Linked DNA regions of Alligator mississippiensis. The protein of the gene in region 3 purifies or fractionates together with the protein of the main gene of each other region. This does not show direct contact. Links are inferred from orthologs where the notes say so. Each region holds a gene or a part of one and is shown on either strand. Other genes may lie near its edges. The genes, in order: DHX30, STAU2 and EIF2AK2.

Region 1 (7,850 bases), on a different chromosome or scaffold from region 3:
CAATTTGAACAGGTTGCTTTTCACCCCCTCGTCCAAGTCGCTGATGAAGATGTTGAACAGCGCAGGCCCGAGGACCGAGCCCTGGGGGACCCCACTGCCCACATCCCTCCAGGTCAAAAATGACCTGTCCACCACCACTCTCTGGGTGCGGCCCTCCAGCCAGTTAGCGACCTATCTCACTGTGGAGGTGTCGACGCCACAGCCCCCTAGTTTTTTAACGAGAATGGAGTGAGAGACAGTGTCGAAGGCCTTCCTAAAGTCCAGAAAGACTACGTCCACTGCTACCCCTGCATCTAAGGATGTTGTGACCTGGTCGTAGAAGGCACCAGGTTGGTCTGACAGCACCTGCCTCGAATGAACCTGTGTTGGCTGCCCCTAAGCATGATCTGCCCTGCCGGCCCCTCGTGGACATGCGCTAGAATAACTCTCTCAAAAAGCTCACCCAGGATCGAGGTAAGACTAACTGACCTATAGTTCCCTGGGTCCTCCTTCCTCCCTTTTTTGAAGATGGGGACCACGTTGGCCCTTTTCCAGTCCTCTGGTACAATGCCAGGGCACCACGAGTGCTCATAAAGCTGTGCAGGGGTCCCGCAATGACCTCTGCTAATTCCCTCAGCACTCGGGGGTGGAGATCATCAGGACCAGCTGATTTAAATATGTCCAGTCCCTCCAGAAGTTCCCTGACTTGATCCTCGCTGACCCTAGGCCTGGCTGCGCCTCCCCTGGGGCCTGAGGGGGTCCCGGCGGACGGGCTGATCCGGTCCCTGCTCAGGAAAACGGAGGCAAAGAAATTGTTAAATAAGTTAGCCTTGTCGTCTGGTGTGACAACCGGATTTCCTAGCGTGTCTTGCAGAGGTCCCACGTTACCTGGCACCTTCTTTTTGCCCCCTATGTATTTAAAGAAGGACTTCTTGTTGTCCTTGATCCAGGTAGCTAGTCCCAGTCCCATCTCCGCCTTGGCCTTCCTGACCACCCTCCTGCAGCCCCGAGCACCCGAGGTGTAGTCCTCCCTGGGGATGGTCCCTCCCTGCCATTGGGTGTACGCCTCCCTTTTAGCCAGGAGACGTTCCCGTATGCTCTTGGTGAGCCATGGGGACTTTTGCACCCTCTTGCCCCTTTGACCCATGTTGGGATTACCTCCCTTTGGGCTTGGAGGATCGTCTCCTTAAGGAACGACCACTCTTCTTGGACACCCGACTCCCCTCCCCTCCAGGACCTCAGTGCTTCTCCAACTAGTCTCCTTACCTCATTGAAATCTGCCCTCCTGAAGTCCAGGGCTGCTGTCTTGCTGCAGGCTTTTGCCACCTTGCACTCATTGCCACTCATGGCAATGAAAAATGAGGAGGCTGTTAAAGGAATACCCCCAAATGCTGACACGTTACATTTCCCTTGAGCGCAATGACGCCTGTGGATGGATAGTTACCAGAAATGAGGGGCTCGATCTTGCAGACACACACAGCTCCCTTTACCCCGAGAAGCAGTCCCACAGGTGTCACTGGGATGAGGAATGGCAATGGTTTGGGGTCTTGCACCTCAAGATGGCAGATTCAAATCCAGCCCAGGTGTGGGCACAAAGAACCTGTTCCTGAAAGGTACCGGACACCCATTTGATAGAGAATAACGTAGCCCAGGTTCAAGAGCAACAACATGTCTGAGATGAGCTGCAGGATTTGTATAATTCCTCGTAAGGGTATGGTTAAACAATACCCTGCTTGCTAAGGTTGGAATTTGGCTTCAGATTTAAGACATCTGTGACATGTACAGTTCCAGCTTCGTTGCACAAGAGTACACGTGACGTTTGCTATACAGAGGAGGGCACAGGGACAATCAGGCACTATCTCCTAGTACAGGTGTTTCTGTGAAAGCACCCTAACATGGCTCTCGCAAGGACCGTCACCTGGAGAGGCTGGAATGAATTCCTGATTAACCTTGTACGTGCCCGGGGACAGTCCCAATTTCCCCTCTGCTTCTCTCTCGCTGTGCCGGTTGCTCCCTGCGCGTCCTTCTTTGTCTCCAAGCCCTGCATCAACTACAATTAAAGCACGCAGGCAGGGCTTGCAGCAGACAACCATTTAATTAGGGGAAAATGCAACAGTTATTGACCTCTGGTGCTTCACGTGAGAACTGCAGTGGCACAAATGGCCTTCATGTCCTCGCTCTCCAGGACTGGGCTCTGCTCCAGCCAAAGAAAGACCCAGACCCACATTATCGCACCCCAAACCCACACCTTTCAGCTGGAACGGACTGCAGGGCCAGGACCTGCAACATCCCACAGACCTTTAGAGACAGGATCTAGACAGCTTGGACCATGGACCTAGCCAGGGGACTCTAGTTGCGTGATACACGTGCCCCCTTCCCAACCGAGACTCAGGGCAGCTTGCAGCACGAGAAACCGACTCAGAGAAAACCAGAATAAAGCAGAGACCCACGACATAGCCCCTCAGCCCAGCTCCGGTGAGGCAGGCATTTACATGAGTACATCTAGGATGTTCTTTTCCCTCTCATATACTTAATTTCCCCCTCCACACATCATTAATATGGCAGAGCCACACAACAGCTTTATTGTGGATGCTTGCCAGGCCTTTATCCTGGGTACGTGGGTGTGTTGCAGACGTGAGGAGGTGGTCAGCAGTCTGTGGTGCAACACCACACTCACATACCGGACGGTTCTCCAAGCCAGTCTTACAGAGCGTGGCATTAAAGCATCCAGCTCCAGAGCAAATCCTGTTTAGTTTAATCCATAAATTGCTGATTATGGATCTAGGAACTTGCAGACTTACGGATCTAGGATGTTGAAAAGCAAGGTGCAGATGGTGAGGCGCATCATCACATATAAAGAACACCTATTTTTCTCCAGGTGAAAAGAAACTAGAAGCTTTACTAATAGGCCTGGGGATTGGGGCTGGATGAGTCTGTTTAAAATTGAGGCAAAAACAAATACAACTTCACTGGAATTAAAGCAGTATCTGCAGGGCTGTGAAATAGGAGCTCCAGCACCAGGCGCAGGCAATGGACAGCAGAACTGCAGACCAAAGGATGCTTGATCGCTGGAACATCAAGACCGTTGAAAGGAAGAGGGTCGTCCACACCTGTGGGATGAGGGGTGTAGAAGGGATCTGATAGGTGACAACGGACTCCCTCAGCGCTGCCTGACCAGCAACGCTGCCGTCACTGCCCGGCAGCTGGTTTTAAACTATGGCTGGAGCCGGACTCAAAGCGGGGTGCAAATGCACCACTGCATCCCCCGGCATCCACCCCTGGGCATTTAGCAGCCAGAAACACCCAGGCTCAGGCAGCCTCAAGAGGGAGGGAGCTCCAGGGCTGCGCCGTGGTGGCTGGCAGCCATCTCCCCCCGTTCCAGCCCAGCGGACTCAGCACACGGCTGGTCCTTGCAGGAGGCTGCCCTTGCGGGGCAGAGGGACGGGTTCCCCTCGGGGCCTGGCTGTGTAGGGCTTTGTAGGTCACACCCAGTGCCTTGAATTGCTATATGGGACTAGGCTGCTATATGGGACTGGGCAGTACTGCTATGTGAGCAGGGAGGGCGTCGCAAAGGTCTGTAGCAGTCCAATCCTATACAGCCACACGTCTGGTCCTGTATAGCAGCCTGGTCCTATACAGCAACACTGGCCTGTCCCGTATAGCAGCCTGGGCCTGTACAGCCCCCCTGACCTCCCACAGGGCAGCTCAGTCCTACGCTGCCTGGTCCCATACAGCAGCACTGCCCTGTCCTGTCTAGCAACCTGACCCCATACAGCCCCCCGACGAGTCCCACAGGGCAGCCTGGTCCCATATAGCAACACCGCCTGGTCCCATACAGCATCCTAGTCCCTAGAGCAGCCCTGCCCTGTCCTGTATAGCAGCCTGGTCCCATACGGTACTGCCCAGCCCAGCCCCATACAGCAGCCTGGTCCCATATAGCAACCTGGCCCCATATAGCAGCACTGCCCGGTCCCATATAGTAGTCCGGTTCCATATAGCAGCCTAGCCCCACATAGCAGTACTGCCCAGTCCCATATAGCAGCCCAGTCCCGTATAGCAGCACTGCCCAGTCCCATATAGCAACACTGCCCGGTCCCATATAACAGCACGGTCCCATATAGCAGCCTAGCCCTACATAGCAGCACTGCCCCGTCCCGTATAGCATCCTGGTCCCATATAGCAGCACTGCCAGGTCCCATATAGCAACACTGCCCAGTCCCATATAACAGCCCAGTCCCATATAGCAGCCTAGCCCTACATAGCAGCGCTGCCCTGTCCCGTATAGCATCCTGGTCCCATATAGCAGCACTGCCAGGTCCCATATAGCAGCCTAGCCCTACATAGCAGCACTGCCCCGTCCCGTATAGCATCCTGGTCCCATATAGCAGCACTGCCAGGTCCCATATAGCAGCCTAGCCCCACATAGCAACACTGCCCAATCCCATACAGCATCCTGATCCTATGTAGCAGCACTGCCCGATCCCTGTCCCCTAGGCGCGCCAGCCCCCATTGGCCCCGCCCCCGCGCTCCCATTGGCCCCGCCGGTTGCCATGGCGACACGCCGTCTCCCCCCCACATCCGGTAGCCGGGCTGCGGGGCGGAAGTCGGCGCGTTCAGTTCCGGGCCATGCCCCGGAAGCGCAGCGCGCGGGCGCCCGGGAGCGGTAGTCCCGGCGGGCGAGGGCCGGCGCCGCGGAGTTGCGAGGAGGTCGGTGCGGGGGCCCGGCGGGGCGGGGTGGAGGGCGGGGGGCCGGGCCCGAGCCCCCAAGCTCGCGGGCGCGGGGAGGGGCGGGGTCCGCGGGCGGGCCGCGGGGTCGCATCCTCCGCGCCCGGCTTTGTGGAGACTCTCCAGCCCGGGCCAGACCGCCTGCAGCTCGGCGCCGCGTCCGCCGGGGCCAAAAACAAAGCTGCCATCGCCGGGGTCCGGAACGAGCTCCGGCATCCTCCGCCATCACGCCTCGCGGCGGCCCCTCGTGCCCGTTAGTCGCGGGCCCGCCCCTCCTCGCGCGTGGGGGCGCGAAACACGGGAGCCCTTCGTCTCGTCTCGGTCCGGAGGAAGAGGACGGCTCCGCCAGGCTCATTATCCTGCCGAGTCTTAGGGGGCCGCTAGCGGTCATTCGCTGACCGCGTTGCCTCTTGGCGCCGGACACCGGTTGGGACGCGGGGCAGGAGTCCGCTCGAGCCGCTCGCTACGCCAGAAGGTGCCGCCCGACGATCTGCGGAGGCCTCGTGCGACCCCGAAAATCTGTGAAATGGATGAATTTCTGGGGCGTGCGTCCCCGCGTGCGACCGTCTAGGTCGGCCGCCCGGTTTGTCAGCGTTTAGCTCGTGAATCGCCTCCGGGGAAGTTTCGCTCGCTCAAAAGACACGTGATTACTTGCGACCGCAGTGGGACCGCTTGGTCGTCCGCGTAGACTGAGGCAGGAGGTCTTTCTCGGTTGCCTTTCCTCTCCACTGAGAGTTTTGCCGTGAATATTTGAGTAAGCGAGCGGCGTTTGGGATCGGGTCCCTCGTACGCTCTTTGGAGAGGGAATACAACTGTAATGAGTGTTATAAGTTGTAAGCTCATGTCCAGGGTGCACGTATGTGTTACTGACAGCTTGGATCCATGCAGGAAAGAAGAGCCTGAAGAACCAGACCTCCTGGAGCCAGCTGTCCTCTTTAAAAGCGCTTGGAGGTTAGGTGAGGAAAAGGGCAAATATATAGTGCCCAGCTTTAAGGAAGGAAAGGAGGAGGACCTGGGGAGTCAGCCTGCCCTTGATACCTGGGAAGATCATGGAGCAGGTCCTCCAGGAGTCTCTTGCGAAGCGCCGAGAGGACAGCCGAGGGATCAGGAACAGCCCGCATGGATTCCCCACGAGCAAGTCATGCCTGACCAACCTGATTTCCTTCTACCATAAGGTGACAGGCTATGTGAATGGGGGGCAAGCAGTGGATGTGATGTATAGACCTTGGCTTTAGCAATGCTTTTGAAACGCTCTCGCATGACAGTCTCATTCGCCAGCTAAAGAAAAGAGGACTAGACGAAAGTACTACGAGGTGGATACGTAACTGGTTAGATCACCTGTGGTCTGTGGACCTTGGGGGTCCGCAGACTATGTCTAGGGGGTCCGTGATCAATCAAAAGTATGTGAATACTCACACTTATAATTCAAAGGGGTCTGTGCTTCCATTCAAAATTTCCACTGGGCTCTGTACCTCCACTTGACATTTTTTAGGGGTCCGCAAATGAAAAAAGATTGAAAACCACTTGCTTAGATTAGATTAGGCATTAATGGCTCAATGTTTAGTTGCAAGGAGGTATTAAGCGGGGCTCCCCTAGATTCTGTCCTGGGTTTGCTGTCGTTCAGCATCTTTATGAATGTTTTGGTTGATGGGATTGAGTGCACACTTAAATTTGAGGATGTCACCAAGTAGGATGGAGTTGCGGGCGCTTTGTAGGGTAGGATACAGAATGACTTGGACAGACTGGAAAAATGGCCAGCTGAGATCCAGCACGGAAATGTGCAAAGCCCTGCGCTTGGGATAAAATACTTGCATGCACAAATACAGGCTGGGGAATGACTGGCTAAGCTGCAGGACTGCAAAGAAAGACCTGGGGGTGACAGCGGACCATAAGCTGAATATGAGCCAGCAGCGTGATTTCGTTGTAAAAATAGCCGACAGCACCCGGGGTTGTACTAACAGGAGTGTCACTTGCAAATCACAGGAAGCGATGCTTCTCTGTTCAGCACTGGGGAGGCCTCCCCCCGGAGTACAGGGTCCGGTTCTGGGCTCCACACTTCAGAAAGAATGTGCACAGATTGGAAAGTCCAGCGAAGCATGACAGAAATGATTAGGGGCTTGGGAAGCGAGGAAAGGCTGAAAGAACTACAGTTATTTAGTCTGGAGAAGAGAAGACTGAGGGGGGATTTGATCACAGTCTTCAAATACCTGAAAGGCGATTGCAAAGAGGATGGAGATGCGCTTTTCTCTGTGGCTGTAAGGGATAGGACTAGGAGCAGTGGCCTCAGGCTACAGCCAGGGTAATTTAGGTTGGAAATGAGGAGGAAATTCCTGACTGAGGGTGGTCAAGCATTGAATGGGCTGCTTGGAGGACTTGTGGAATCTCCATCCTTGGATATTTTCAAGAGCAGGTTGGACAAACACTTGGTTGGGAAGGTTTATTTAGGGATGGTCCTGCCTTGAGCAGGAGGCTAGACTAGATGATTTTGCAAGATCCCGTCCAACTTTACTTTCCTATGATCCTGCTTATATGGAGAAGAAGCCACATCGCTTTTTGCCTAGTTCAGCTTTTCCATGCAGTTTAAACTCTTTATCACTAAAATAAGGTCTGGCTTTGTGTATATGCTGGGAACATCTCCGAGTGCTGTTTTCATGTAGCTCTACTCTGAAAAGAGGCTTTGCATTAGGTCTGATTCTGTCTCCCTGGAATAAATAGGATTTTCCCATTGACTGCAGTGGTCACTCCAAAAGTATAATATTAACATTAATAATAATTACTATTAACAATTACAGTGGATGATTAATATTTTAATATGAATATGGACATTGTCATCTGAATGGGAAGCCCGCCCAGCTCTGCTTCCAGTTTGTTACAAAATCCTTGCTACTCTATCAGATGTACCCTAAAATTGTCCTACCTTTAAGTGATCAGGCTGAGTAGATCCTTTCCCAAATTAAGCTTTGTGGTCCTGGCATTTTTCTTGTTCCCAGCCAGATGTCCTAAGCTCCTGTTGAGGAAACTGCAGGCAAAGCTGCATATTGAAAAAAAATTCATAACTTCTTAGCTGGGAAAAAGCAAATGCAAAAGAATTCAGGCTGCTTTATATGTGGAAAATCTTTCACAGATGTATGCCAGTGTTTTAAAGA
Region 2 (7,250 bases), on a different chromosome or scaffold from region 3:
CTTTTTCAAACTCCCTACAGAAGCTTTGATCTTTCAGCACAAACAGAAGTGTTCTTCAGAAAATGCTGGTGCCAGTTAGAAACACGGTGTATTTATGAAAGAAAACATTTTGTAGAGAACTTGTGCGTTTTGGGACTTGAACTGAGTATTCTGAATAAACAATAGTCCTATACCTGGTTTGCGTGTGTTACCTGTTTAACTATTTCATTAGGAAAAGCCCTAGCACGTGCATGGTTACACTGTTATAACCAGGAACCTACAGAATTCAGGGCAGCTGACCCATCAATTTTGCCATCTGAGCACAGCACTAGTTGCCACTTTCATGGTGAGCATAGCAGCCCCCGCATCTCTGATTGACCAAGGGGCCCTGGAAGTCCTGACCCTCCCCAGAGATTGATAGGTGGTCACCTGTCAATCTCTAGGGAGGGGTGGGACTACTGGGGGCCCTTGGCAGGGGGGAGTGGAGGGGTGGCAGCTGCACAAAAATCTGTCCTCCCACCCCAGCCCCTCATGCTTCCTGGCCCCAGGGCGTCCCACCATTTTCTGTTTACAGCTCCCCCCCGCACATTTTATTTCCCCATTCACTGGCCATTTTTGTGGTCTCCGCGTTTTTCCATGGGAATTGGGCTTTTTTGTGGCAGACCTACCAATTTAACGGTCCTGCAAAAATCACAAAACCACGATTTCAGTAGGTCCCCAGTCATAAAGACATCATATGGATATCAGTATGTTACCCCTATAGCTTATACAAGCAACAGAGTCTTTGACCCTCTGGTAGCATAAAACTTAGAAAAATAATATCAGTTTACAACTTACAAAGCCCACTTCTCAATTACATATTTTAGAAAGATACAATTTTTGACTGAAGAGTAACGGACTCCAAATGCACACTAGGAATTAATATATTTCTTCTCTACAAAGACATTTATAGACATATATTTTAGGCACCTCAAGACAAACTCTCCAGAAGAACACAACAGGTGCAGCTTCCTCATGGCTAGAGCAGCAACCCTAGGCTCAGAAGATATGGCTCTGACACCAGTTTACTGTCTAACCTTGGGAAGGACACTTACGTGACTAATTTCCGTCTCATATTTACATCAATGTAAATCAGAAGCAACCCTGCTTCAGTGGAGTCACAGGGGTAAATCTGGGGAGAAAAATCAAGCCCCTGGTCTTTGCCCAAAAGAATGGGCTAAGTGAGCTATGGTACTGATTTAGTGTTCAAGTTTGGGCAAGTCATTTATCTTTCAAAAAATGCAGTTTTTCCCAGTGTCAAAATACTTTGTAAGCGACTTTCAGACTTTGGTATAAAATACCATTCAAGCGCACAGTGTTATTAAACATAACTGTTGGTGAACAGGGTAGTTCAAACTCACTGCTAGTCTAAATCTAGCCCAAATTAGTTGCCATCATTAGCTGCCTTAACAGCTTATGGGTAATAAACTGCTTGCAACAGTCTAGTTCCCAGTGGCCAGTAATGGGGATCTCAGAGAGGCAAAGCACTGAATGCACACGAGGACTGAAGTCTCTCATACCCTTCTGTGGTCCCTCTGGGGCCCAGCTGAGGTTCATTAACTGGACAGCCCTGGAAATCTTACACTGCTGCTGGCTCCTGAGATAAAGGGCTTCATTCAGCTGGCTGTCAATCTGGCACCATTCATAAGCAGTAGTGTCGCACAAAAACCTGTTCAGCAAAAAAGGCCTTGCCTACATTCATAAAATATATACTGGTGTAACTCTATTACTGCAGTTACACAGGTATAAATCCTCAACAAGAAGACACTGCGCCAGGACAAAGCAGGGGCTGCGCTGGTGCATCATGATTTGGTAATACACCACCCTAAGATGTAGCAGCGTACGCCCCAGCACCAACGGGATGTACTTGTGCCTACGTAGTTATACCTGCACAAATTTCCTCCGTGTAAGCAGGGCCTTGTCATGATAGGAGAGAAGGATCTCAAGTCATTACCTACAGTTACATACAACATACAGCGCACAGCCTTGTCCGCAACAGCGCACTGCACGTGCTCCTCTGCTGAATTTGAGCTCCCCAGACCCCACAAATCCTTCAAGTCTAATAACTAGTAGAAAGCCTAAGAAGTCAAAAGAAAGCTTTCCCAGAGTGACCCATGGCCGGTATGTCTTGGTGTGTACGGAAAGTCTGCCAGGAGCAAAGCGTCACCGATTTCACCATGTGCTCCCATTTTTGAGACCACAGTTACTTTGTGGAGGGCACTTCAGAAGCAGCCTGCGAAGAGGCTGCCTGGAGGAGAGTTCTGGGCGTCTCGCCTCCTAAACCCGCCAGGACTGGGCTGCCGAAGCAGCCAGCCAAAAAAGCCTGCTCAGAAGAGCTCTCAGGTGCTCCGGGTGTCTCTCCTAAGCCGCCCAGGCCTGGTCCTCCCAGGCGCAGGGCCCAGGCCAGCCCCCCCAGCCCCGCACTTCTCACGTTGTCCTCAACCAGGAACTTGCTTCCCGGGGCCCCGGCGCCAGGGCGACGCGGGAAGAGGAGAGCCGCAGCCCAGCGAGCCGAGCCGAGCCGAGCCGCCGGGGGCCGCCGCTCTCTACAGGACGAAGCATCCCCAGGCAGCGCGGGGCCGCCACGTCCGCCGGCACGAGGAGGCGCGGCGGGGCCTGCTGCGGCCCCGGCCGGCGGGGACGTGCCGGCGCCTCGGCCCGAGCCGCCGACCCGGCCCAGCGCGCAGCCCCTTGCGGCCAGGCCCGGCCAGGCCCAGCCCGGCCCGGCGCGAAGGGCCAAGCCGCGCGGGGATACCGGCCCGGGCTCGGCCCGGCGCCGCCCCCCACTTCCCAGCCGGCTCCACGTCCCCCGCAACTCCCGGGCGGGAGTGTTGGTGCTGCCGGCCGGGCCGGCGCCGGAGAGGGGGAGGGGGCGGCATCGCGGCAGCGGCGCCCCCTGCCCCGTCCCGGCGCCGCGGCTCCCGCCTCGCCTCGCCCCGCCCCGCCGCCGGGATGGGCTCGGCCGGGCCGGGACAGCCCCGTTACCTGGTTCCCGGGGACACTTTGGAGACGCCTCCAACATCGGCAAACACTAAAGAGAACTGACCCCGCCGCCGCCGCCGCCGGCCCCAACCACTGCGCCCCCCTCCGCCGCCGGCCCCGCCCCGCCCCGCGCCGCCGCCGCCGCCCGCCCCCCGCGGCCCGGCCCCGCCGCCGCCGCCCCCTGCCGCCCGCCCGCCCGCGCCGCCGCCACCCCCGCCCCGCGCGGCCCCGCTCCGCGCCCCACGCCCCCCCCCGCGCCGCCGCGCGAATGGCCCCGTCCGCCGCCCTTCCCTTCCCTTCCCTTCCCCTCCCCTCCCCTCCCCGCCGGTCGTGCGGCAGCCCCCTAGCGGCGGCTCCGACCCGCTCCCAGCTCCGCGCGGGCGACGGCGCTGGGGGCTCGGCCGGCCCGGGCGGGATGACTGGGACCGGCCGGGACGGGCCGAGGCGGAGCTGGGCGGTGAAGGCGCCGACAGCCGCGCTGCGTGGGGAGGGATAAAGAGAGACTCTCCTTCCTTCCCCCTCTTCACACTGCCGCCCCTCGCCTGCAGGTTGTCCCGAAAGCTCCAGGATAGTTCGTCTTCGCCCCGGCCCGCCGCCCCGTGTGAAACGCAGGCGCTTCCTCCTGCTCCGGGCAGACGAAGAGCACAGGGGTTGCCAGCAGCTGGGGCCCGTCCTACCCGAGCCCCGGGCAGCCTCCTCCTGGCTGCAGCCGAGCTGGCGGCATGTCCAACCAGGAGCCCCCAGGGAGGCTTTCCTGTCACCCCCCTGTTCGCGTCTCCGGTGTAGTTTCGCTGGGCAGGGCCCACCAGCTCCTTGGACTCATTTGAGGGCCAGCAGGCACTAGCACATGTACCCTGCTCAGTATGCATGTCCCCTGGCCCTTGGTGCACTCATTTTAAACCTACACTCTTTACTCCTTCCCCTGTTTTTCTTTTATTTGCCCCAAGAACCAGTTGTTGCACCTTCAGTAGCCTCCTCTGTAAAGGAAGGCTTACAGTTTTAGTTGGCAGGCCTAGGCCCACACTTCCCCAGTAGCAGAACAAACAGGCCTGTGTTGCACAGGGGCAGAGAGTGATGCTTAAAAGGAGAATGAACGGGGCTTGTCTCCCTGCTCCTCTCCCCCTTGTGGCCTCCAGCCTTTAAGGTTTAGGAAGTTCTGTTTCGGAGGCTGTGTCCTAGGTCCCTGTGGCAGCAGGAGCAGACAGCAGAGGCTGAAAGGAAAGTAAATTGGGTAGGACCAGCCCCCCTCCAAACCCCACTGTTCCTCTCTCACTTGCAGCCTCCAGCATTTAAAGTCTAGGAAGTTAAAGATAAAAGCAAAGAGGAGCATGACACAGCCCAAGTAAAAAAGCATTGAAATGGTTTCAATGAGTAGAGCAATGGTTTCCAAACTCTGACAGATAGTGCACCACCACTTTTAAACGATACAAACTTAAGTACTGCCAGCAAATTTTTGTCATATAAAGTAATTATAATAAACCTGTTAAGGCTGTCTGTGTACCACTGGTGGTACCTATACCACAAACTGGGAACTGCTGGTAGAGGAAAATGTGGGTAAGTAAAGGAAAACAGAACCTCTATAAAAGCCACCATTTTGGCTTGAAATAAATCACCCATGAGACTTACAACTGGGTTACCATAAGTCTGGGTTTTCCTGGACATGTCCTCTTTTTGGACCCTCTAATCTCCATCAGGGCAGTTTGTTTGTTTTTAATATGAACTGATTTTGCTTTGCTTCACTGGGGGGGAGGACAATTGGAGGCAGCGGGCACGTGGCCGGCATGCAACCTGGCAGGGTCATGGAAGCAATCCCTGTGGGAGGCAGGGGTTAGTGGGCCAAGGCTTGGGGACTGTCTGCATGAATGAGGCATGCCCCTGGAGGCTGGGGGGGCATGGCGACCGCCCACAGGCAGCAGTGGTGATGTTGGCAGTGGGGGGGAGGGGGGGCATGGCAACTGCCCGCAGGCAGCAGCGGTGATGTTGGCGGTGGGGGGGGGGGAGGGGTGACAAGCACCGACCAGCAGTTGGCAACCACCTGCAGATGCTGCCAACAGCAGCTATCAGCAACAGACACCGACAGCAGTGTCAGCAGCAAGAGTAGGGGGTGGTAAATGGCAACTGCCTGCAGGCGCCACCAGCAGCAGTCAATCGCAGGGGATGCATCACCAATCTCAGGGGGTGCATGTGCACCCCCCATGCATCACCAATGACTGGGTATGCATGTGGGTAGCTGGCATGTGCAAGGGTGGCGGGTGTCTGCTGGCATTAGGAGAAGTCTGGGCACCAAGGCTGCTGTGGCAGGGGGAGGAGGGGAACAGTTTGTGCCTGGTCCTCCAGCAAGGGAAGGGGGCAGGGGGTGCCCTTTGAAGACAGAGGTAAGCTCTGTTGCCAGGCTGGCAGCACCAGGGATGGTGCCCATGCTCATGGGGCTGGGCTGGCCAGGAGACACTGCTGGGGTGTGGGGGCATGGCCAAGCCACCTGGTGCAGAGCTGGAGCCTTGGCCCAGGGCAGGGGGTGCTACAGGAATTCCCTCTTCCCTTCCGCCTGCACCAGAGCTGGACTTGCTGTACCGCTGCCTGCATGAATCAGAGCCATCGCACCCTGGCCCATTCAGGACAAGGGCAACTGGGGCCCCAGTCCAGCAGGGCTAGGGAGAGTAGGGAGCTGCGGATCAGGAGCAAGGGGTACTGGCAGGGATTGGGCGGCTGCAGGTGGGTACTGTGGGTCAGGAGTGAGGGCACCAGCAGGGATGAGGGGCACCAGCATAACCTGGGGGGGGGGTGAGGGACTGTGGGTTGGGAGTGAGGGGCAGCAGCAGGGATGGGGGGGCTGCAGGTTGGGAGCAACGGGCATTAGCAGGGCCAGAAGGCCGTGGGTGGGGAGTGAGGTGTTCCCCCAACAGGTGTCCTCTTTTTTGGAAGTGGAAATATGGTAACCCTACTCTACCTTAAATTTTATGATTCTCAGGAAACCCAACTTGGAAAGGAATGTTTCCTCCTCCCACCTCTTTACTAATTAATAATCAAATATCAGAACACTGAATACAAAAAAATATCCTTCACCTATTGCTACACACCAACAACATGCTCAGCTCTGCCCAAGATGGTCTTTTTACCGAAAAGCTTAACATCAGATCAGATGAGACAAAAACTAACTTAAAATACGCAGTAAGCATCTGAACAAAACCAAGTAACCTCTCCCCCAGCCCACCCAAAATCTGAAGGCTGTACCTTTTACAACTAGAAATGGCATGGAACCCATTATATTGAGCTAATGCACTTCTAATCTCACAGACTGTCCCAGAAAGGAAAACTCTCCTGATCGTGCCCTTGTACATTAGACATATACTGTTAATGTCAAAACCAGAGTCTCCTAAAAATATTTGCTTCAAGATCATGTTTTATTTTTTATTTTTTTTTTATATATGAGAGGTTTTTCCAAGGAGTGCTCTGAGAACTGTTTGACAGTCATGGGATAAAAAGCATACGAAAAAGGCATTATAATGTAAACCCAACCCCAACCCCCCCCCGCCATTTTTGTGTCATTTCATATGAAATCTTTTTAGTGTAGAGTATTACACTCTTTTTGTCATATTATAACCTAGGGCTTCAACATAGATAATACAGATGACCCCTTTAACAGCCTCCCAGCTAAAGTACCTATCCATCTGGCAGAATAATTGGTGTCTTAAATGTTTTAAACACCAAATTGCCTTAAAGTTTTAGGAAAGTCTACAGACACTTGGTAACATTCCTGCCTATGCTGCAAGGTAGAATGGAGCTTTAATCATATAAAGTATTAATACTTTAACAGGATGCTCTCACCTGTAAATTTTAGAAAGTATGCAAGTTGCCCACTTATTTCTGAGATCTGAAATTATAAATTAACTTGTTTCACCTTTTCTACTCAGTTCTACTTGTTTGGTCTGAGAATCAACCAGAGCTCTTGTGCCTAGAGTCATAACACTTGTATTTGAATACTTTTTTAATTTCATAGGTATAATTTAATAAAACATCTGTCCTGTTTTGTAAATTGCCTTATCAAACTTCCTAAGTGATGAGCCTAAGTTTCTTCCTTTTTTCTGTTGTTTCTGTGCCTTTTACAAATGTTTTTAAAAGCACAGTATAAGGACCTTGCATTCAGTACATTCTACAAAGACTTTGGAAAGCCAAATCTACTGATCCAAGGTAAAATACCATTTACCAGATTAGACAGCTGCTCCCTCTCAAGCTGCCTAGACCAGTGGTGC
Region 3 (7,566 bases):
TGGACAGAACTCCTACAATGGTGTGGTGAAAGGTAGGTCTCATTACACCTGTAAGGCCTTAGCATGGCAGTCAGGCAACTTGGTCACTAACACTCAACCCCTTAAGTAGGACCAGCTGAGCCTGAGCCTGCTGCTTGGTTCCAATGCTGCTCTTAGGAGCTTTGGCAGCACCTAGCCCCCGCTGTGCAACAAAATAGCCTCAGTCTGCATGTAGCTCTTGTCTGTGTGACTTCCCTGGAGCCTGTTCCAGTGTTTCAGCCTGTGTACCCAGTCCCTGAACTTTGGACCCCCATTTGACTTTGGGTCACGTGGCCAGGAACGCAGGTTGGCAGCTTGGAGAGTGGCATCCAACCAGTAAGTCTGTAGGGGGGAAGGTGTGGGGGAAGAGGCATAGAGGGGTGCAGATTGAGGCCCCCACAGTGAGGGATGGAGTGGGGCTGGGGCAGGGGTAGATGCTGCTCAGCCTGGGTGGGGTGGGGCATGGGATGGAGCCATGGGAGGCTGATCTGGGGGATGCAGGGGGTGGGAGGGGGCAGCTCCTTGCCTCTGCGTGCTCCCCAGGAAAGGCATAAAGGGTATTTTGTGTGTGAGGTGAGGGTGGGCTGAGGGCTGTGCCAGCCTCTTCCAAGTGGGAGGGCTGGGCTGGGGCTGCACTTGGGGCAGGCGGTATTTGGAGAGGTGGTGGTGATGCTGGGAGGGGGGGCCATGGGGTGGCTATAGTGAACTTTGGGGTGGCTGTAACCCACCTTGTAGCCCCACTCCCAGCACTGCCACTGCCTACCCCACCCCTGACCCTCCCTTCTCTGAGTGTAGCTCTGGCTCATCCCCCCAGCCTTGAGCCCATAGTGGGCAACTTGCTCTTGTCCTGCGCACAGATCTGGGGGCACATGCCCCCCAAGTCTACCTTGGAGGTGTGTGCAGAGGCAGGAGCTGCCACCCCCATCCCCCGACAAGCCACCTGCAGCCCCAGTCCCACTCCCTCCTTCACTGCAGGGCCTCAGTCTGCCTCTCCCCATGCCCTTTTCCACCGCACAGACTTACCGGACACTGCCCTCCAAGCTGCCTGGCTGCATATCTGCAATTGGATTAATACTGGCTGATATGGCTGATAAATAATCAGCCATCAGTATTGGCCAAAAAAATCTCTGGCCAGCAGCCAAAGCATCTTCTGGAAGGACTAAGCCTCTGTCTGCCAGTGCACACTCCTGTGGCATACACCGCACCACTTCTTTTTTCATAGTGGTTTTTTTGCTACTGGAATTTCCAGTAACAAATTTTGCCCCCACACTGCAAATTTGCAGTGCTGCACATGCTTTAACATGCCAGGTATAGTTTGTGGCACTGCAAAGAGGTTTTCAGTGCTGCAAACCACATGTGCCTGCATATCTGGATCTGGCCTGACTGCCATTCAGATTTCCATCCCCTGCCCAATCCATTGCTCTGCTTTCTGCTCCCTGCCTCATCTGTGTCTGTGCTGTGTGCGCTCTTCCCCAGTCTGGCAAGTGCCACATGCAGAGGTAGCCCATGGCACTTGTGACATGTGCCACAGTGTGACTGTCCCTGAATTATCAGATGACTTTCATGGTAGATTTAAAGACTTGCAAATACTGAAACTTGTGAACTCACTATTGATTGGTGTGATTTAATGAAGGCTGCTGGTCTACCCACAAATCCCTACTCGCCCATCCATCTGCTGTAGGAATGGGCGTTCTAGCACTCTTAGAGCAGTGTTTCTCAACCTGCGGGTCATGACTGTTACATCTCAGCTGTGTGTTCTTGGGAACCCTGGCACAGGATGCAGTCTGTCTGATTCACCCCCCCCCCCTTCTCTACATAAACAAAACTGATTAAGAGGCAGTGAGAGACACACCTAAGACCCTCCAGATAAGGCTGACAAGGGTGGAACAACTGCCCTAGGTCTCATTTGCATCTGAGATAGAACCTGATGACCATTCATTTACATGAGAGATGGAGAACAGAAAGCCTGAAGCAGAGACTGCAATGAATGCTGGGACCAGAGAAGCAGGGGAGCACTGCATGATGGGGAATCTGTGCTCCAAATGCTAATCAACCCATATTCACACACACCCAGCTCAGCATTTATCAGACCAGTTCTAATCTGGATCTACAAAGGACTCCCTTCCCCCCCCCCCCCCCCACACACACACCCCCACCTCTAAGTTTAATAGGCATCTTGGGCCGTACATTTCCCGGTCCCACTATGGGAGGCCTATTTAAACTTGATTGACTAAAGCTCGGTTGCCGGGTTAGGGAATGCTGAGGCAAGAGACCGAGTCAGAGGGGGCAGGGGCAACATTTGAACAATGGTTAAGGGTTCATTGCAGTGTCCAGCCTGTTGGAGCCCTAATCACAGGTGTTGTCATACTTTTCCCAAGATGACTGGTGGGAGTCCTCTCCACAAAAGGTTATGAGCACCCCAATAATTGTCATAAGTCTGTTAAAAGACTATAATAAGATCTGGAAAAGTCATGCTAAGCTGAGGCTTGTTCACAACAAGTGAAAATCCAAAATCCTGATGCTGCAGGCTATCTATTGTTTCTGAAGAACCCATGAGATATCCCATCAGTATATCTGCTATCCATAGGAATTTCAAGCTGGCTCCCAAGTATTTGGTTACTCCCTAATCTTATGTATTTCCTGATTATCAGTCAGTTTCTTGAGGTGTTCCAAACCAGATAACCCCTTGTCAATAGAAAAGACAATGATTTACACAATTGAGGATGCTTTGAAGCAGCTGAACTGAGGGTATAAAAATCTGTAAAAAGTGTGAGTGCTCAAGAAAGAAAGAAGAAAACTCCTGTGCTGACACCATTCCCTGTTCTTCTTGGGACGCTGGAAGAACAGATCATCTCCCTTCAAGGACTGTGCCTGTCAGCTTTGCAGCCTGAGTACCTTGGACTGGTGAGATCCCAGCACTCTCTCTCTCTCTTTTCTCTCTAGGCATAGATTTCTGAACCTGAACTGTATTAGTTAAGCTTGAGCTAAGTTTCCCCAAATACTTAGTGAAACCAGGGTAGTATTGTAACTGTGTTTGTTTTTTTTTTTCTTTTGCATGTCTATTACTACTAGTACTATTATATATTTCATATGCTTAGCAATAAATAACTTTTATAGTCAAACTGGTAGTAACTGGGTATATTTTTCCTTCTCTGCTTCTCTTTCCTCCCGTGCTCTGCAGCAACGCTTCTTTTACCTAAGCTAAAGATCCCTGTGAAGCCCAAAAATACTGTGGGGTCTGCTCATCAAGAGGCCAAAGATTGGGACGTGCTGAGTTTGAAACACATAAGGGGATCAGCTTGTACAGGCTGATTGACCCAGTTTGACTCAGACGTGCCCTTATGAACTGAATGCTGGCCCATGAGGGTGTCAGCTGGACACCCAGCCGGATTCAGAGGGATTCTGTTTACCTGTGTGCTTGTGTCTGACTGCAGTTTATTGTTGCTCTGATGAACTGATTCTTGGCATATGAGGGTGTCAGCCTGTCCATGCTGATCAGCCCGGCCAGGTCAGGCGTGTCACGTTAATTTGTGTGTGTTTGTGTGTATGACTGATTTGGTGACTGGAGGAACCCAGTCTCATTGAAATTGAGTCCTGCAAGATAGCTTCATTGGGGGTGAGGGCTTGAAGAAGGGAGAGATGCAGCTCCATATAGTAACACAAGCAGCACATTGACAGAATTACCAAGACCCTAGAAACTATCCCTAATAAATGAGCACACCCCAAAGTAATGGGCAAATCTGGTAACATGACCCAAAAGTGGGTCGCAAGAATATATGAAAGGGTCACAAACAAAGTTTAAAAATGGATTCTCCTTTCAAGGAGAAAAATGTGGGAAACTGTGGCTTTTCCCTTGCAGGCTGGCAGAGCTCCAGCCCCTCCTGCCCCACACACTGGAGGGCTGGGGGGCAGCTGGTTGCGAGTGAGGGGCACTGAATTGGGACTAGCCATTGCTGTTTACAAATGGGTCTTGGTTAGGGTGGCCATCATAGAGGGCAGTCTGGTTGTCCTCTGTCCTCTATTGCTACAAAACCAGATGCCTTTATGTCCCCTATTTTTTTTTTTTTTTTTTTTTTTTTTTTTTTTTTTTTGTTGAAGAGGAAAAATGGAGAACATAAAGGTGTGGGGTTTTGTATCAATAGGGGACAGAGTAGCAGGACACAGGCATGTCCTCTATGACAGCCACCCTAGTCCTGGTACAATACAAAAACAGTTGAGAACCGCTGTCGTGGAGGAGATGCGTGTCTGAGGCTAATGAATACATCAGTGCATTTGGGTGCGATGCTTTAAAGGCCCCCTGTGCTCTGGAAGTGCTGTGTCATCCTCTGAACATGCGGCTCCTTCATAACTTGGTTCCGCTTGACACCCTCTGGCTGGAGGAACAGGGCCCAGGGCCGGATTCACCCTTTCGTGGGCCCCCAGGTGAAGAGAGAAACTTTTATATGACTTTCCCCCCCACTCCATTCCAATACGTAAAAATAAGCACTTCTTCACTTAGGGCCCTAGGCACCTGCGTTCATCCGGCCCTAACGGGCCAGCAATGCCCCCGGGCTTCGTGTGCCTTCGCCCAGGCTCGGCTTGCCCGGCGCGCCTCCCGCGCGGGGCCGGCCGGGGGAAGACCGCGCCCTCCGACAGCCCTAGCTCGTCCGAGCCAGGCGCAGCGGGCGTGGGCTGCGCCGCTTGCTCCGCGCCTTCGCTTTCGATTCCCGGCGCGGCGGGAAGGGCGGGCGCGGCGGCAGGAAACGAAACCGGGCGGCTGCAGCGAGTGGCGCGGCGGTGAGTGGTTGCACCGTCCGGGCCTCGTGGTGCAAGGAGCGGGTCCCCCGGAAGCAGTGGGAAGGACACCACTTCCCCGCCCTCCCCGGGTTGGGGATCCTGTGGGGAGCGGGGCAGGAGTGGGGCGCCGGGAGCACCCTGCTCAAGGTTTGGCCCTTTTCTAGTCCAGGAGGCAGCTGCGTGAGGAGCTTTCCGGCAGGATCCAGTGGGAGGCAGGCAGTGGGACAGCAGCTGGAAGCGCCCTCCAGGGCTGGCGTGTGGTGCAGCCCCTGCCTGAGGCCGGATCGTCCAAGCCTCTGGGCAGAGCTATCCTCCGATCTCTACATCCCACTGACCAGCGCAGACCTAGCGCCCACACCTGCCACAGGTAAAGGGGGCGGGGCGGGGTTGGCTGCTCTGCCCACAACATGCCCTGCCTTCTTTGGGGAAGGGGACATTTGAGGGTTATGCTGTAAGGTCCTCATCTCCCCCAAACTGGCCCAGATTTGGCCCCGCGACCCCACAAGGCAGCTGGAGTCCAAGCTTCCAAAAAGCTTTTAATACAAATTTTTTCCTCCCTCCCACCCTACCTAGACTGCTGACAGCCCCAGGCAAACTTTTAGTCCCCCTTCACCAGAGATCATGATAGTTATAATAAAAAAATTACTATTTTTGCACCCCCTTTCTGTCTGGGCCCTGAGTGGTCTCCCAGTTTGCCCATGCCTGTGTCCGGCCCTGCTCCCACCCCACACACCGCTGCTAGAAGGAGGGGATGGGTAAAAGAAAAAAATGTGGATCCATCGTTACTTAGGGAAGGGATTCGTAATGTTTGTGTGCCCAAGGGCACATTTGAATTTAAAAGAAAAAGCAGCAGGCATCAATAATGGTGGCTACAAATGTCCAACTTGGGATCCTTAAAATTCTAGTTTATTAGGCGGATTGAAACACCGTAATCATAAACCTTGCGTCTGGCACACACACACACTCACACTCACACTCACTCTACAGAGTCAGGTATACCTATCCTACAAGCACTGGAGTCTGTCGTTATGGCTTCTTTCAGTGTGGTATTATCTTCCAGAAGGGGGTCACCGGCTGGTCCTTCTGGCTGGACAGGTCTGGTCAAGTTGGAGATCAAGAGGGCGCCAATGACAGTCACTTTTCACTGCCTTTTATTTGTCCCTGGCAGACTTTGGTGACTCCCCAGTTTTCAGGTTTGCCCAATCCAGGGGTTATTGACCCTCGTGGAACTTCCCCCCCCCCCAGTGGCTACTGGATGGCATCTGTCAGTCCCAGGGGTCGTCCGCATGTACGTGCAGGTTTGGGAGTCCGTTGATGAATTTAGAATAGGGCTCTGGGAGCGGTTGATCTGGAGATACTCAGCCCAAAAGTTGGTCCCCAGCGTTGATTAACTCAGGCCAGGGCTTCTAGCCCTTGATCAGTGAGGTTTACAGATTTCGCGGTTGTTCCGTTGTCTTCTATTGAGTTCTTCCCTTGGTTGATCTGCAGCTTCCAGGTGTTAATTGCTGCCTGTTGCTACAGTGTTACACATTCAATCACTGATTCACTCCCTCTTTCAGGTGCCAGTTTCATACAGGGAAGGACAGTTTGATTCCTACCCTTGTTACAATGTATAACTTACTAAAACACATTTAGTTGAAAGGTGAGGAGTATCAAATATAAGCTACAAATGCCATGGCACACAAATAGATAAAAATACCAAAATACAAGAGGAGATACAAAATGCACACACACAACTTTTAAAACACAATTCCTTATCTTAAAGTGAGAGAGAGAGAGGAAAGAAGAAAAGGTAGAAAAAGAGAAACATATCCAAAGAGGGGAGAGCAAATACAGGCAAGAGGAAAAGGGGGCTTTCTGCTACAATATGACAGCATTTTTTTAATGGAATAATTATTTTTACTGATCAGGAAAACTTGGGCGATGGCGCCAGCGTGCACTGTGTTGGGAACCACTGATTTAGTGTGACCATATTTCTTGAACCTCACTTCCTCTCTACCTCTTCTCTCTGGCATGCTTGGCTGTTTCTGAGCTCCTCAACACACCTCTTTTAGCATGCAACAAATATTTTGTAGCAAAACAGCCTATAATTCTCTACGCTCAGAAACACTTCCTGGATCTGTGTCTGTACCCATGAAGTATAGGGCTGCCATCTCTGTGTTTGCTTTCTTATATTCTTGGGGCAGAGACAAATGCTAAAAATATACATTCACTGTCAATTTTTCCCCCCTTGCAGGTTGGTTCAAAATGGCATCTAAGAAAAAGCTTAATGAATATTGTCAAGCATGTGGATTAAAGGTGTCGTATGAGGTTGTCAGTGAGGAAGGCCCACCTCATGATCCCAAGTAAGTTCATAATGGAGGCCAATGGATCTTCATTAGTAGTCTGGAAGGTGGTAGGGAGTACACTTTCAGCAAGTTTGCAGATGACACCAAGTTGGGGGAGTAGTAGTATGCTGGAAGGTAGGATTCAGGGAGACCTAGACAAATTGGATTATTGGACCAAAAGAAATCTCAGGAGGTTCAATAAGGCAAGTGCAAAGTCCTGCACTTAGGATAGAACAGTCCCATGCACTGATACAGGCTGGAAGCTGATTGGCTAAGCAGCAGCTCTGCAGAAAAGGACCTGGGGGTTATAGTGGACAATAAGCCGAATGAGAGTCAGTGTGCCCTTGTTGCTAAGATAACTAACAGCATACTGGGCTGCATTAGTAGGAGCATTGCCAGTAGATTGAGGGAAGTAATTACAGGCAGTCCTCAGACTTATAGATTC

Evidence for each region.
Region 1: the proteins of EIF2AK2 (region 3) and DHX30 purify together in Homo sapiens (affinity purification with mass spectrometry; 3 studies listed by BioGRID and IntAct, with this or other methods). This does not show direct contact. The link is inferred for Alligator mississippiensis from reciprocal best matches to the Homo sapiens genes EIF2AK2 and DHX30.
Region 2: the proteins of EIF2AK2 (region 3) and STAU2 purify together in Homo sapiens (affinity purification with mass spectrometry; 3 studies listed by BioGRID and IntAct, with this or other methods). This does not show direct contact. The link is inferred for Alligator mississippiensis from reciprocal best matches to the Homo sapiens genes EIF2AK2 and STAU2.

Annotation. Positions count from the first base shown.
Region 1 is NC_081828.1:217,718,472-217,726,321, forward strand, and holds the start of DHX30 (ATP-dependent RNA helicase DHX30), read left to right. Parts: upstream 1-4,768; 5' UTR 4,769-5,753; coding exon 5,754-5,879; intron 5,880-7,850.
Region 2 is NC_081826.1:59,010,503-59,017,752, reverse strand, and holds the start of STAU2 (double-stranded RNA-binding protein Staufen homolog 2), read right to left. Parts: upstream 3,095-7,250; 5' UTR 3,004-3,094; intron 1-3,003. UniProt on the Homo sapiens protein: RNA-binding protein required for the microtubule-dependent transport of neuronal RNA from the cell body to the dendrite.
Region 3 is NC_081824.1:166,423,456-166,431,021, reverse strand, and holds the start of EIF2AK2 (interferon-induced, double-stranded RNA-activated protein kinase), read left to right. Parts: upstream 1-4,535; 5' UTR 4,536-4,558; coding exon 4,559-4,794; intron 4,795-4,958; coding exon 4,959-5,161; intron 5,162-7,030; coding exon 7,031-7,139; intron 7,140-7,566.